2 linked regions of the Tamandua tetradactyla genome follow. The protein of the gene in region 1 purifies or fractionates together with the protein of each later gene. This does not show direct contact. Links are inferred from orthologs where the notes say so. Each region holds a gene or a part of one and is shown on either strand. Other genes may lie near its edges.

Evidence for each region.
Region 2: the proteins of RPRD1B (region 1) and RPRD2 purify together in Homo sapiens (affinity purification with mass spectrometry; 4 studies listed by BioGRID and IntAct, counting the BioPlex papers as one, with this or other methods). This does not show direct contact. The link is inferred for Tamandua tetradactyla from reciprocal best matches to the Homo sapiens genes RPRD1B and RPRD2.

The regions. Positions count from the first base shown.
Region 1 is NC_135327.1:14,129,377-14,137,064, reverse strand, and holds the start of RPRD1B (regulation of nuclear pre-mRNA domain-containing protein 1B), read left to right. Parts: upstream 1-4,653; 5' UTR 4,654-5,075; coding exon 5,076-5,226; intron 5,227-5,349; exon of another isoform or gene 5,350-6,013; coding exon of another isoform or gene 6,014-6,032; intron 6,033-7,688. UniProt on the Homo sapiens protein: Interacts with phosphorylated C-terminal heptapeptide repeat domain (CTD) of the largest RNA polymerase II subunit POLR2A, and participates in dephosphorylation of the CTD by RPAP2. Transcriptional regulator which enhances expression of CCND1.
Region 2 is NC_135330.1:5,449,015-5,456,786, reverse strand, and holds the start of RPRD2 (regulation of nuclear pre-mRNA domain-containing protein 2), read left to right. Parts: upstream 1-4,738; 5' UTR 4,739-4,767; coding exon 4,768-4,972; intron 4,973-7,772.

The DNA of each region.
Region 1 (7,688 bases):
AGCAAGTAAGAACTCTGCCACTGAGCCACTGTTGCCCACCCTGTATATATTTTATATTTCACAATAAAAAATTTTAAAACACATAGATTATCAAAATGAAATCCTGAAAAATGTTCAAGTAACCCACAGTAAGTCAGGAAAAAGGAAATAGAGAAATGAAAAGAGAGAGCAAACAGAACACAAAAAGGAAAATAGCAGACTTAAGCTCTAATATATCAATAATTACATTAAATATAGACAGTCTAAAAACACCAACTAAAAAGACACCTTGGCAGGGGAGATGACCTACACACTGTCAACAAGAAATTCACTTCAAACATAACAACATAGGCAGGTCAAAAGAAAAAGGATGGAAAAAAAACACAAACATTACTTCAGGAAAAGCAGAAATAGCTACACTAATATCAGATAAAGTAGACCTTAGAGGAAAGTAAACTCCCAAAGAGAGAGAGGGACATTATATAATGATAAAAAAGGTCAATCCCCTCAAAATATATAATCCTAACGTGATTGCATCAAACAACAGAGCTGCAACACATGTGAAAGAAACTAAAAGAACTGAAAGGAGAAAAAGACAAATCCACAATTATAGTTGGAGACTTCAACACCCATTTTCAACAATTCATAGAACTAGACAGAAAATCAGCAAGAACATAGAAGAACTCAACACAATACCACCATTAACCAACAAAATCTAACAGACATTTATAGAACACTCCACTCTGCAAAAGCAGAATACATATTCTTTTTAAGTGACCATGGAACATACACCAAGATAGACCACATGCTGGGTCATAAAACAAACAAACACACTGAAAAGAACTGAAATGATACAGTGAGTTCCCTGGCCATAATGGAATCACAATACAAATGAATACTGAAAGATAACAGGAAAATGTCCAAACACCTGGAAACAACTTCTAAACAATCCACTGGTCAAAGAAAAAGACTCAAGAGAAATTAAAAAAATAATAATACAATGAACAGAATGCAAATGAAAATACAACAGTAAAATTTGTGGGACACAGTTAAAGCACTGCTGAGAGGGAAATTTATAGTACTAAATGCATATATTAAAAAAGCGGAAGAGTCTCAAATCAATAAAGTCCTACCTAAGGAACCTACAAAATGAACAGCAAAATAAACTCAAAGCAAGCAAAAAGAAGGAAATCATAAAGATATGAGCAGAAATCAATGAACTGAAGACAGAAAGCATTAAAGAAAATCAATGAAACAAAGCTAGTTCTTGAAAGAATCAATAATATTGACAAACTTCTAGCAAGAGTACTAAGAACAAAGAGTGAAGATGCAAATTACCAATATCAGAAATGAAACAGAATTCACCTTTTAAGTGTGAATAGACCTTGTAAGGGGATACTACAAACAACTCAAAACACATAAATTTGACAACTTAGACAAAATAGGTGAATTCCTCGACTACCACAAACTAACACATGCAACACAATATGAAATAGATGATTTGAACAACCCTATAACTATTTAGGAAACTGAATTTGCAATTTAAAAACTTCAAAAGTAGAAATCTCCAGACCCAGATGGTTTCACTGAAGAATTCCACCAAAAGTTTAAAGAATTAAAACCAATTAATTCTCCACAAACTCTTTCAGAAAACAGAAGAGGGGGGAACTTTTCATTTTATGAAGTTATTACTACCCTCACACCAAAACCAGACAAAGACAAAATAAAAAAACTACAGACTAATAGCCGTCGTGTTTATAGATGCAGAAATCTTAAACAAAATATCAGGAAATATAATTCAGCAATATATAAAAAGAATTACACAACATGACAAAGTGGGTTTTTTTCCAGGGATGCAAGACTGGCTCAAAATTTGAAAATTGCTCAGTGCAATGAATATGAATAGACTAACAAAGAAAAATCAGAGGATCACATCAGCCTCATTTTTCAGATGTATAAATGTTGACGTGTAGGAGGATTCGGTCACTGGGCCTCTACCTTTTTTTTTTTCACGCCTACTGCCCCTTATGATTTCCACATTTATCTCTAGCCCAGATCTCTCCTTTGAACTCCAGACCCACAAATCCAACTGCTCATTAGCCATCTCTACTTGATAGGCATTTTCAATTGAACATGTGAAATCCAAACACCAGCTCTTTCACCCCAAACTTGCTCTTTCCCAACGCAGTGAATGGAAACTCCATCCTGAGGACTACTTAGGTTAAAATCCTTGGGGCAATGTTAACTCCCCTCTCTCTTTTCATGCCCCATTATCCAAACTGACAGTAAATCCTGTTACTTCTTCCTCTAAGATGTCCCCAGAATCTGATCCCTTCTCACCAATTCACAGGCAACACCTTGGTCTGAGTCATCCTTTCAAATGAATTATTACAATAGCCACCTAACTGGTCTTCCTTCTTCTACCGTTGCACCCCTACTGTCTATTTTCTACTTAGCAGGCACAATGACCTCCTTTTGCTCAAAACTGTCTAATTTGGAGTAACATCCAAAGTACTTACTACGGCCTACAACTCTCCACCTGATCTGACTCTGCTACATTTCGGTGTTCATTTCCAGCCGCACTTCTGGTTCAAATCACTCCAGCATTACTGTACTCCTTGTCGTTCCTCAAAAATGCCAAAATGGTCTAACCTTAGGACTTTGCACTTGGTTTTCCCTCTCCCTGGAACAATATTCCACGATATAACACACGGGTTGTTCTCTCACTTTTTTAATATTAAGCACATTAAATAGAAGAATGTAATGTGCTTAATATACAATCACTTGGTATAAAAGTGCTCAATATATGACAGTGTTATTTAATACAAAGTCTAGAGTTGGACTCAAAAACCCTAGGCTATGATTATGATTTGTTATTAATTGTATGATTTTAGGCCACTCATCTTTTCTATATTAATCTGATCAAATGTCACCCTGTCAGTGAGGCCTTCTCTGACTATTATATATAAAATAGAATCCTATGCACTCATACATATAAAATCTCATCCCCCTACCCTTCTTGATTTTATCCAAGCACTTATCACTTTCTGACACATTTTATACTTGCATGTTTATTTATTTAACTTCCCTAGAAAATGTAAGCTTCCAAGAATATAGATTTTTGTCTGTTTGCCTAGAAAAGTGCTTCAGACATAAATCTTCAATACTTGTTGCTGAATGAATGAATAAACCACTGGCTTAATATTGAAGAATATGAGATCAGACATCAGACAATCTTGATTTGAATCCTGGTTCTGTCATTTCCTAGCTGTGAGATCTTAGGTTACTTAACCATGCTTTGTTTCCTCATCTATCAAATAGTGATAATTATTACCCCATAGAATTGTTGAAAGGATTAAATAGAAGAATGTAATGTGCTTAATATACAATCACTTGGTATAAAAGTGCTCAATATATGACAGTGTTATTTAATACAAAGTCTAGAGTTGGACTCAAAAACCCTAGGTTATGATTATGATTTGTTATTAATTGTATGATTTTAGGCCACTCATCTTTTCTATATTAATCCACTCACTCAGGAATCAGGGACCAGAGACAAAGAGATGGAAAAGATGTAGACCCTGCCCTCAAATCTTAGCAGTGATCTTGGTCGGGTCACTTAACTTCTCTGAGCCTCAGTTTCCTCATCTGTTATTTTGTAATTATATCATTTGTTATTTTGTAATTATATAATACTGACCCTGGCATTTTGTTGTGAGGATTAAATTAGTTACTATGTGAAAACAAGGTCTGGCACATAGCAAGCAATCATTAATTTTTAGCTATGATTAGGATGATTCTTGTCTGGAGGAGGGATAAAGGCATCTAAGCAAAGTATGTGATGCCTAGGGTCTGCCTACAATCGGGAGGTTCAACTACGATTGGGAAAATTTTAAAATGCTGTTATGGCAATGATATTCTAACTCCCTATCCTCATCCCTACAGCAGTTAGAAAGATAAAATTCTTTGCTGCTTTGATAACTGGATTTTAAAACTTTAAAAAGTTTTTAACATTAAAAATAATAGGATAAAAACATAATAATAGAATAAGCCCTCAGACTCTCAAATAGTGTTTCTCAAAGGTGGTCAATGGCCGCATTGGGAGGGTAAAATAAGTCCTCCCTCCTCCCCCTAAAAGTTTAATAGTATTTAACTTTAAGGACAAACTCCCATACTGGCAAGGACAGTCTGAACGAATCACCAATTAAGAACACAAAGGTGTAGCATTTAACTAAATGCACCGACTAAATGTCAGAACTGGACATTAAAGAGTGGGTCCTGGAAGACCTGGTGAGAAAGTGGTCGATACCTTTGGGGAGAGAACAGCAAAAGCCAAAGCACGGCCACGTGAAAGTGCAACAAAACAAAAAGCTTTCTGTTGGCGGCCTAAGAGCAGAACATGTATGGCGTTCAAGTGCGACCTGGAAAAGACCAGGTAAGGGAAGAAGCCCTCCCCCATACCCAGGCCATGATGTTTCAGCTTCGATGTCACCTCAGGATGCCTTCTCAGGCTTCCGTCCTGCTAAGCTCCCTCTTGGTCCCGCCACTACTCTCTTACCTCGTCTTCCAGTCTTTCCCCTGTCTTTCTCTCTCCCGCCTCCTACACCCCGCCGGAAGTGACGCGATAACGAGCGCGCCGTACCGCACTAGAAAAGTTCCGCGGGCGCGGGAAAAAGGGTTCTTTTTAGACTCACTGCGCCGGCGTGCTGGCGCGATCGCTCAAAGCGCCTTAGGACATCCGCGGAACTGAGCTCCTCTCTCTGTCTGTCGCCTTTGAAGTACCCCGAGCGAGGTCGAGAGAGGACGCTATCACTGGTGGGGCGTTACTCTACAGCTCCGGGTGCCTAGTTATTACGGCTCTTGCCCTTTGACCCCGATTTCGCGGGGGGTGAGAGGTCGGTGGCCATCTTGTGGCGGCGGCGCGGACGGCTGTTACTGCGGAGACCTATCCCATCCCCCCTCCATCACCCGGGCAGTCTGTCAGTCAGTAAAAAAGTCCGGCAGTCTCTCAAGTGAGGCTCTGGCCTGGTGCAGTTGCACTTACCGCCGTTCTCGGCGGTCCAGGCCGCTTCCTGCCGGGCCTCATTGCCGCCACCATGTCCTCCTTCTCCGAGTCGGCTCTAGAGAAGAAGCTCTCTGAGCTGAGCAACTCTCAGCAGAGCGTGCAGACCCTGTCCCTGTGGCTCATCCACCACCGCAAGCACGCGGGACCCATCGTCTCCGTGTGGCACCGCGAGCTGCGCAAAGGTAAATATCCCCTCCCCGCCCCCTTGTGCGCATCCCTGGTTGCCCTCTTCTCCCATGCCCCTCTAACTTCTCAACTGAGCCTTGTTTTCTAGGCTCGGGCTTCTGAGTTTGGAGAGTGTTATCCTCATTTCTTGGAGAAAGAAACGGAGGCCCAGGAACGGTTAAGGCACTTGTCTGAGGTCCCTCGAACCACGGCCCAGGTTCCTAGACTTCAGATCATCAGGCTGTTTTTCTCTTAGGCTCCTCCTCACACTTCTATTATTTTCGGCAGCATTCGACGTCCGGTGGAGGGTACAGGCCTTAGCCTGTTATCTACCGAGCGCTGTGCTGGGCATTTGGAGTAAGATAGATTCCTTGCTTGATATTGGGCCAGTTTCTTCATCTATGCCTCTGTTTTCACATCGTAAGACGGGAGCAAGAATCGCTACCACTTATGTACAGAGCTTTTACTCTGGGCCAGCCATAATGCTGGTACTTAAAGTATGTCCTTTCACTCAGTCCTTTGAACAGCCCTATGAAGGGGTACAGTTACCCACACTGAATAGAGAGCCTAAGGGGCCACACCATCTAGACCTTATCTCTCAGGCCTCACTCTCATGCAGCTGCTATTGGTTCCAGACTGCTCAGGATCTGACAGATGCAATGATCTCAGCCTATTATGTGCCAGGCACTGGGCACTTGATAGTATGTTGGCTCCAGAGGCCAGTTGCCTGGAATCTAAGCCTGACTGCCACTTACTAACACCAGCAACTTAACCTCTCTGTCTCTCAGTTTCCTTATTTATAAAATGGGGATGATGATAACTGGTATTGTCCCTTTATTATGTTCTAGTAACTTAATAGCATTGCATACATTGTTGTTGTTTGTTTTTCATTCTGAGGGATTTGTTGAAGTAGGAACTTTGTAGATGAGGAAAAACTGGAGCTCAACCAACTCCTTATTATGGTGAAAAATAAGCAGAATAATCCAGATGAAAATCTAGCATGTTGTCAGGTATAATGTAGACATTTGAGAAATCGTGATGAGATGGGACTGTTGACTATTCAGTGTGAGGTATGGTCTTTGCCTTCAGAAAGTTGCTTGCAGTCTAGTAGGGAAAGATGGGAATCTACACAGCTATCTGATGTGAGTGCTGTAACAGAAGGATGAGGAGTTGTTCTCGATAGTGTATATGTGGTAGGCCATTTATTGTATAGGAAGTGACTTTACATGAACTCTCAACTGTATGTAATGTAGGAGATGTCACTTTTACTTGGCAGATGAGGAAACTGAAACTTTGAGTGGCTAACTGTTATTTTCAAGGCCTTAGAGCTGGTGAGGTGCAGACCATATCAGGCTGACTCTCAAATATCATATGTTAAACTGAGAGAGGGATCCTCAGAAGGATCTAATCAGTTGGCTAGAGCCTGAAACTACCAGAGCCTTCTCATACCCCAATATGCCTTTTAAATATTATTTGTAACTTGTGCTGAGATGTGAAAAAGAAAGTGAATCACCTCTCTGTAAACTCCTGTTGGGTAGGATCTCAGAGATGGATCAACGCCTATCTCAAATATTACTTCTGTGAAATCTTCCTGATTCCTCAACTTGCCATATCTGAGTTATTTATTTTTGAAGTTGCTTTATTCTTAATCTCATTTGATAGAGCCTTGTGTTTGTTGTAGGTAGGCTGCTGTTATCCCCATTTTATAGATGAATGACATCTTCTTGATCAAAGGTATAAAGAGATAGGACATGAGCCCAAGACTCTCTGATGCCAAAACTTGTGCTCTTCCAAGTACTCAGTGCCTCCATGCCCATAATAAGTGAAGGTTATAACTCCAGCCAAACCCAGCTTTTCTTTATTAGAATTAATCACTGCCTCCCACCCCCTTAAAGCAATTTAGCATTTATTTCATTCTTACAAGTTAAGTCCTTTTCACTAGGTTGTGTTTTGAGCGAGGAACTATACATTATTCGTTCCTTTAATGACCATAGCATTTAACATGGTATATGTTACATAGTTAATAAATAGGAGTTAAACTGTGGTCTCTGACACCACTTTCACGATAAGGATCTAAGCAGCACTGTCCAATAGAACTTCTGTGGTGATAGAGATGGTCTGTATCTGTGCTGTCCAGCGAGGTAGTCACTAGCTACTTGCTTTTGAGCACTTGAAATGTGCAACTGAGGAATTGAATTATCAAATAAATACAAATAAAAGATCGATTCCCAAGTTGCAAAAGCCACAGTTCAAATATTGTTCAGTAGCCACATGTGGCCTGTGACTGTCATGCTGGGCATCATCAAGATGTAGCTTCTTAGGCTTCTTTCATGAATTGAAAGAGCCCCACAAGGAAGGAGAAAGGATTTTGTCCCCTAACGTTCAATAGCCTTTTTGGATTCTATTCTATGCCACCCTGATTCTTCAAAAAATGAATATTTCTACCTGTGGTCAAGTCATTTGTCCTGTGTAAAATGTT
Region 2 (7,772 bases), on another chromosome or scaffold:
CGTTCTGATTATTAAATGTCTTGGAGTATGTCTATTTGGATCTATTCTCTTTGGGGTACGCTGCACTTCTTGGATTTGCAATTTTAAGGCTTTCATAAGAGTTGGGAAATTTTCAGTGATAATTTCCTCCATTAGTTTTTCTCCTCCTTTCCCCTTCTCTTCTCCTTCTGGGACACCCACAACACGTATATTTGTGCGCTTCACATTGTCTTTCAATTCCCTGAGTCCCTGCTCATATTTTTCCATTTTTTTTCCTATAGTTTCTGTTTCTTGTCGGATTACAGATGTTCCGTCTCCAGTTCAGAAATCCTATGTTCTGTCTCTCGAAATCTACCATTGTAGGTTTCCGTTGTTTTTTTTTCATCTCTTCTACTCTGTCTTTCATTCCCATAAGTTCTGTGATTTGTTTTTTCAGACTTTCAGTTTCTTCTTTTTGTTCTTTCCTTGCCTTCTTTATATCCTCCCTCAATTCATTGATTTGGTTTTTGATGAGGTTTTCCATGTCTGTTCGTACATTCTGAATTAATTGTTTCAGCTCCTGTATGTCATTTGAATTGCTGGTTTGTTCCTTTGACTGGGCCATATCTTCAATTTTCCTAGTGTGATTTGTTATTTTTTGCTGGTGTCTAGGCATTTAATTACCTTAATTAGTTTATTCTGGAGATTGCTTTCACTTCTTTTATCTAGGGTTTTCTTGCTGGATGAATTTGTTGTCTATCTGTTCTTTGACATTCCGTTCAGTTTTAGATGAAACTTTAGCTTAAGTTTTGTTTAACAGAGCACAAATTTTCAGTTCTTGTTTTCTTGTTTCTTGCCCTGCTTGTGTGGTGCCTTTCCCCAACACACACACTTAGGAGGGTCTACTTAGATATTATATACCCCAGCCAGATTTTCCCAGACCAAACTGGCCTCCTATCAGGAGGAAAGAGTCACCTGCGTTGGTTTTCCCTGAGGGTGAGACCCAGCAGGTTGAGACTTTCCTGTGAGGTCTCTAACTCTGTTTTTCTTCTCCTGCCCTGTGTGTGGGGCTTGTCTGACTGCAGGTCCCACCAGCATAAGATGATGTGGTACCTTTAACTTTGGCAGACTCTCCCTGCTGGGGGCGGGGTGGAGACAGAGGAGAGATTGTAGGCTGGTTTTAATGGCTTCAAATTACCAAGCCCTGGGGTCTGAATTCTTTGAGGGAGGGCTTCCACCTGAGTTGTGCTTAACCCCTCCCCTGGGGAAGGCACAGGCTCCAGACAAGCCCCCAAAAGAGCTCACTTCTGCCTGTGCCTGGGGCAGTTGCAGCTTGAAAAGTCCTGCTGCTGTATCCAGAGGCAGTCAAGCCACAAAAACCTCTGTTTCCTTCTTTTTTCCCCCCTTTTTCTGTCAGTCCTGCCCCCTTGGCGCTGGGGCAAAAATGAGCAACCTCCGCTTTGATCATGTTCGCCTAAGCTGGGGGCCTATTTTTAGTAGTCAGAATTTGTTAATTAGTTCCACAATTGGCATTTGATTGTGCCCAGTTCCTGCTGCTGGTAAAGTCTCTTTCCTTTCCCCTCTGGGAAGTGGCCTGTGGGGGAGGGGCGCTGGCCACGGCAGCTTTGGGAACTCACGGTTCTGGCGGGGGGTGCTTGTAGCCAGTCCAGTTGGTCCAGATTGGGGTACGCTGTATGTCTGGTCACTGATGTGGCCCCAGGAGCTGTTCTGTATTGTTTCTGGTTATTTAGTAGTTGTTCTGAAGGATGAACTAAAACGCGCACGTTGTTAAGCCGCCATCTTTACCCGGAAGCCCTGAGCTTTTTCTTTTTATTTCTTTTACTGGAATGATGCACACATTCTAAAAAATGATCATGGTGATGAATACACAACTATGTGGTGATATTGTCAGCCACTGATTGTATACCATATATGGACTGTGTGTGATTTGTCAATACAAATACTTAAAAAAATAACAAAAATCCTTGGTGTCCGTTCTGGTTTGCTAGCTCCCGGAATGCAATATACCAGAAACGGAATGGCTTTTAAGAAGGGGAATTTAATAAGTTGCTAGTTTCAAGTTCTAAGGCTGAGAAAATTCCCCAATTAAAACAAATTATAGAAATGTCCAATTTAAGGCATCCATCCAGGGAAAGATACCTTGGTTCAAAAAGGCCAAAGAAGTTCAGGGTTTATGTTTCAAATGAGAAGGCACATGGTGAACACAGGGCTTCTCTCTCAGCTGGAAGGGCACATGGCAAACATGGTGTCATCTGCTAGCTTTCTCTCCTGGCTTCCGGTTTCATGAAGCTCCCTGGGAGGCATGTTCCTTCTTCATCTCCAAAGGTCACTGGCTGGTGGACTCTGCTTCTTGTGGCTATGTCATTCTGCTCTGCCCTCTCCGGATCGCTTTCATTCTTCAAAATGTTTCCTCTTTTATAGGACTCCATAAATTTATGAAGACCCACCCAAATTGGTGGAGACAGGTCATCACCTAATCCAGTTTAACAACCACTCTTCATTAAACCACATCTACAGAGAGATGATCTAATTACAGTTTCAAACATATAGTATTGAATAGGGATTATTCTGCCCCTATGAAATGGGATTTAGATTAAAACATGGCTTTTCTAGGGGACACACATCCTTCCAAACCAGCACAGTGTCATACTTGACTCATTTTCTCATATTCCATATACACCCATGAGGGATTTTTTTGGCCCTGCCTTCAAAATAGATCCAGGATCTGACCACTTCTCATCTGTTTTGCTACACCCAGTCATGTAACTTTTTTGCTTAAAAACTCCTGTTTAAAATAGCTTCTCATCTCAGAGTTAAAAAAAAAAAAGAAAAAGAAAAACCAACCTCAGTGTTATAAGCCTTACAGTGACCTACAAGGCTCTACATGAACTCCCTCTTTTTTCACCTTTCAGATATCACATTTTACCACTTGCCCTGGCTCTTACTCTCCAACCACTTAGACTCCTTGTTCTTCCTCTATTATACTAAGACAGCCCTGTTTTAGCGCCTTTACCCTGCTGTTCCTCTTTGCTTCCCTCCCCGTTTGGTTACCTTGCTGTCAACACTGAGATCCAATGTCATTTCCCTCCAGAAGACTTCCTAGATCATCACACCAGATTAGCATACCTATACGGAACATACACATGCACACATCCCACTCGCTCTTCATGAATGTTTCGTATAACTTATTTCTACCTGATGTATACTTGGCGGTGGTGCCCTACCCCAAGCCCAGATGGAAGGCCTTTATTCTGTCTTGCTCTGGACGGGCCCTCAACACCTACAACAGTACTTGGGGCGAGGACGTTCAACTGTAACTTACTGCTACTGAATACTAGACATGAACTTGACAAAACGGGTTCCCTGCCTCAAGAAACTTGACTCTTCCGGGAAAACATCAGAAGATTTAAAACACGATACTTGTATGTAGGGACAAAGGAGCCCCCAGATGTTCCCAGAGAAATTTACATAGGGAGATAAGGCGACAATGGCTCATCTGAGGCGTGCTCATCGATTTAATATATTAAAGTCTTCTCAACTTAACGTAGCAAGCAATTGTGAGACTGTATCCCAACTCTGAAGGCGAGGTCACATCTCGCCTTTTATTCTCTCATCTCGAAAATTTTAGAGGGGTGTTTTTCCCTTCACTTTGTCGTTTGTTTTCTCTTCCTACAAGCCCAACGACCACTGGCTGAGAGCGGCACCGGCCGGCCAGGGAGGGAAACAGCGTGCTGAGAACAGCCTGCGAAGCGCAGGGGCTGCGGCTGGCGCATGCGCAGGCGCACAATCCGACCAGCCGCAAGATGGTGGCAAGCTATTTTGTCCCGCGTTGTTGCTCCGTGGAGTTTTAGTGGCGGCCGGAGCTGCAGCCTCTAGAAAATAACAGTAGTTTCCGAGCAGTGGGAGTTTTCCGGCTCCGTTTTGTGAGCTGAGAGACGGACCACGGCAGGAAGCCGAAGGCAGAGTGGCAGAGCCCTTCCCCCAAGCCTCTCAGCCAAACCAACTTCTCCCCCGAGCCGGCCCCGTTTTTCCTCCCAGCCGCTATAGGCTGAGCTGCTGCGCAGGCGCACAAGTAATGGACGCGCCGCCTTGGCCCTTGAGGCGTGCGCGCCCCTGCGCGCCCTTCTCGTTCTTTCCCTTGATTGGTCAGACTGCCCCGCCATCCCGCCTCCTCTGCTCTGGGTTGTGAAGGAAGCGGGGCGGGGTCTAGCGGCGCGTGCGCGATACTATTGCTGTCCCTTTGCTGCTGTTGCGTTGCAAAAAAAAAAAAAAAAAAAAGTCCTGACTAGGTAGCGTTGGGCCTTTTCTGTGCTAGGGGATCTAAGGGAGAAAGATTTCTGCAACTGAGAGCGGCGGTCGGGTGGCATTAAATTTAAGAAATTAACGCCCGCCCCTACTCAGAGGAGGGTGGGTTAGGGGTGGGGAAGGGCCTTAGAGTTATAAAACCATTACTTTCGGGGCTGGGCGCTTGAAAGGCTTTGCAGGTCCTGTTTTTTTGTTTGTTTGTTTGTTTTTGCGTAGTTCTTTCGTGGTTACTGACTGGTTTAAACACGACCCCTTGAACAGTACCGATCACCCTGGACACCCGCCGCCCCCGCTCGCAGCGTGTGGGGCCGCCAGCGCGCCGGGCCGCGGGTCCTGCAGTCCGAGAGCCGGGAAGGCCCCGCGCGCCCCGCCCCGCCCCTGCTCCCGCCGCGGCGTCCGCGCTCTCGCAGGGATCGTTCTCCCCGTCCCGCCGCCGCCGCCGCCGCCGCCTGAGGAGCAGCGGCGCCTGTGCACACCGCGAAGATGGCTGCCGGCGGCGGCGGCGGCGGCGGCAAGGCCTCGTCCTCGTCGGCCTCCGCGGCGGGCGCACTGGAGGCCTCGCTGGACCGAAAACTCCAGTCGGTAACTAACACCATGGAGTCCATTCAAGGCTTGTCGTCGTGGTGCATAGAGAACAAGAAACACCACAGCACTATCGTCTACCACTGGATGAAGTGGCTGCGGAGATGTGAGTGTCGGGGTGGCCGGGGCCTGGGAGCCGGGGGCCGGGGAGCCGGGGAGCCGGGGGAGGGAAGGAAAGCCTTCCCGAAGCGTTGGGTCTTCCCGCGGAGCCGCTGCCTTCGCGTGCGGCTGGCCCCGTCCAGGCCTTGACCCGAGCGCTCCCGGGCGCAGCCTGCCCTCCTCGGCAGCGCTGTGCTGGGCTGCGGGAGGCTCAGTGCGTGGGTTTTTTAGCCGCAGATTTGGCTTGACCTTGGGCCGTTGGGCCCCGATCCGCAGGTGTTTACACATTCTTTCCTGGCCGAGGCTACCGAGGTGTGCCGTTGACTGGACTGACCCTGCACGGACATGACCGCGTCCGTTTATTTCCTATAGGCCTTGACGTGGTAACGAGTCCTTCTCCTGGCAGTAAACAAACTGTTCTAAGTAGTAGCGAATCCGTCCCCTTCTCCGGAATGTGTGGGGCGGCTCTGCCTTTCCCGCTGACCTCTCCTTGTGATGTGTAATGAGGGGGCCTTACCTGGCTGAATGCCATCCGGCAGCCACCTGAGCTCCACACAGAGCTGCGGCCACCACTGGGGCTGTTTTTCCTGGACCTGTGTTTGCTGCAGTAAAATACGGGCTCTTTTGATACTGACCGGAAACAGCTGAAATACTCTAATCAGCGTTATCACTAATACCTTAAAATGCAAAACATATCCATATTAGCTTGAAATGTCTTTTTCCCATTTTGAGATTGATTTCATAGGTACTCAAAACAGGAAATGTACTTTTGGAGTATGTAGTTCTTTTAATTTTTCAGTTATTACTTTTTTGTCTTCATCGTGGAGTTTTTTCCACTGCTTTTTTGCTGCTTTGCTATGGAAAAGAGGTCTGTTAAGCTTCCAGGAAGCATAGGTTTGTTTGCAAAGGATTTCAAATCTAAGAGGAGGGAGGTGTGGACAAGTGACTATCGCTCCTTGCTGAGAAGAGGAGGTAGCCCTAGCTCCATATATATCCATTTGAATTTTATCCATTGAATAAATTGTGCTCATTGTGTATATCCATTTTGTTGCTTCTTGTCTGTGGCATGTCACCTTTGAGTCCCATCGTCCAGTTATTCTTGTTTCTTTTTCTACTTCTATTTATCCCAGCCCCTGTATTGATAGAGCTTGCAAAATTATAAGCCCCAAGTTTCCAGCTATTTGTGTATAAGGTTAATTGTTGAGACAGATGATTTTGTGGTTCTTTGAATAATAATGATGAAAAGTTAGGAGAGCCAAGACAGGATTACCTATATTTTACAAATACTTACTTTCTTCCCAACAGGTAAAATTGAAAAGTGTAATATCAAACATGATGATAGTTGTCATCAAAGACTCTCATTTATTGAATATCTCCTATGTGCCCAGCCTTTTATTGTGATTTAGAGTAACATCTATCTCATTATTTCTGAAAATAATCCTGAGAAGTAGATTTTTCTAATCACTGATTTACAGATGAGGAAACCAAGACTATGACATGTTAAGTTTCTTAGGAGTTGAGTACAAGGCAAAATAGTGGAATCAGGACTTGATTCTGCCAGATCAGGTGACAGTGATCACGTTTAGCCTTGTAAAATAATATTTTCAAGATTATTCTTTAATGTACTGGGAACACGAATGTACTTGCTACACCAGTGGTAGCAAGCAGTGCTACGGATTATTCTAACATTTATTTAACATTTTCTACCTTTGGGCTCTGAATTTGCAGAAATAGGTTGTTCCCAATGTCTGCCTTGTGGCAATTACAAGTGACAGTTAAAATGTTTTTTTCTGGTCAGCAATAATGAAATACACTGGGGCCAAAATTTTTCTACCTTGACTGGTTATTGATATTATGCCTGAACCTGTTTCCCTTCTTGGTATCAATAGTGAAAAATGATCGTTTTAGGAAGGCAATAATTAATTTGAAGCGCATTGTATACAGTTTATATAGTTAATACTTATGACTTTCCAATGCCCAGTTGTTTTCCTAGTGGAATAGAACTTAAGTTTCTAAAATGGTTATTTTTAAGGTTAATTTGGAGTGGTTTTGTGTTTATTTACATTTAATGAATATCATCCATTTAATAAGTAAAGCGTTTTTTAGAGAGAAATATTAAGGGTTATGGTGAAGGGCAGGATTGTAGTAGTTTATGCATTGGGCCTTATTTCCATTTACATTGTAGTTTGTTTACAGTTAGACCAGTTTCAATTTGAGTTTGGTTTCTAAGTTGGCTTTAGGTAAAACTGTCTGGCATTTTAGCCTTTCTTTCTGTTATCCTGATGCTGCTTTTTCTTCTCATTTTTTCTTTTGTCATCCATTCTTATTTAGTAATTTATATTTATCCTTAGTGTGTATTTAAGTAACTGTGTTAGCTCTTCCAGAGATATTCTCATTTTATCCTTTATTTCATCATGTGTAATAAGAGACTTTTTGTTCATTTAAAGGAAATAATTTAGAGACGGCAAGTAGGCTCCCTGAAGTTATACTCCTATGGAGGAATTCTACTGATTTTATTCAGGCTTCTTTTAATTTTCATGGCTGAAGCATTTATTACCATCATTTTCTAATGTGATTTTTCTGTAGCATAAAAGAATGTCCTTCCTGAGCTTTAAAAGCCTCAGTGATGTCCTTCTGAACCAGCATTAAAAGCCAGATATTTACTACAGTCTACCAGATTCTACGTCTGTCCTGCTCACCTCTCAGACTTCTTCAAATTCTGGCTTATCATTATTCAGACTTCAGTTCAAATATTTACTTACCAGAAAGGCCTTCCCTGATCATCTTGTTTCAGCTGGTCTCTTTCT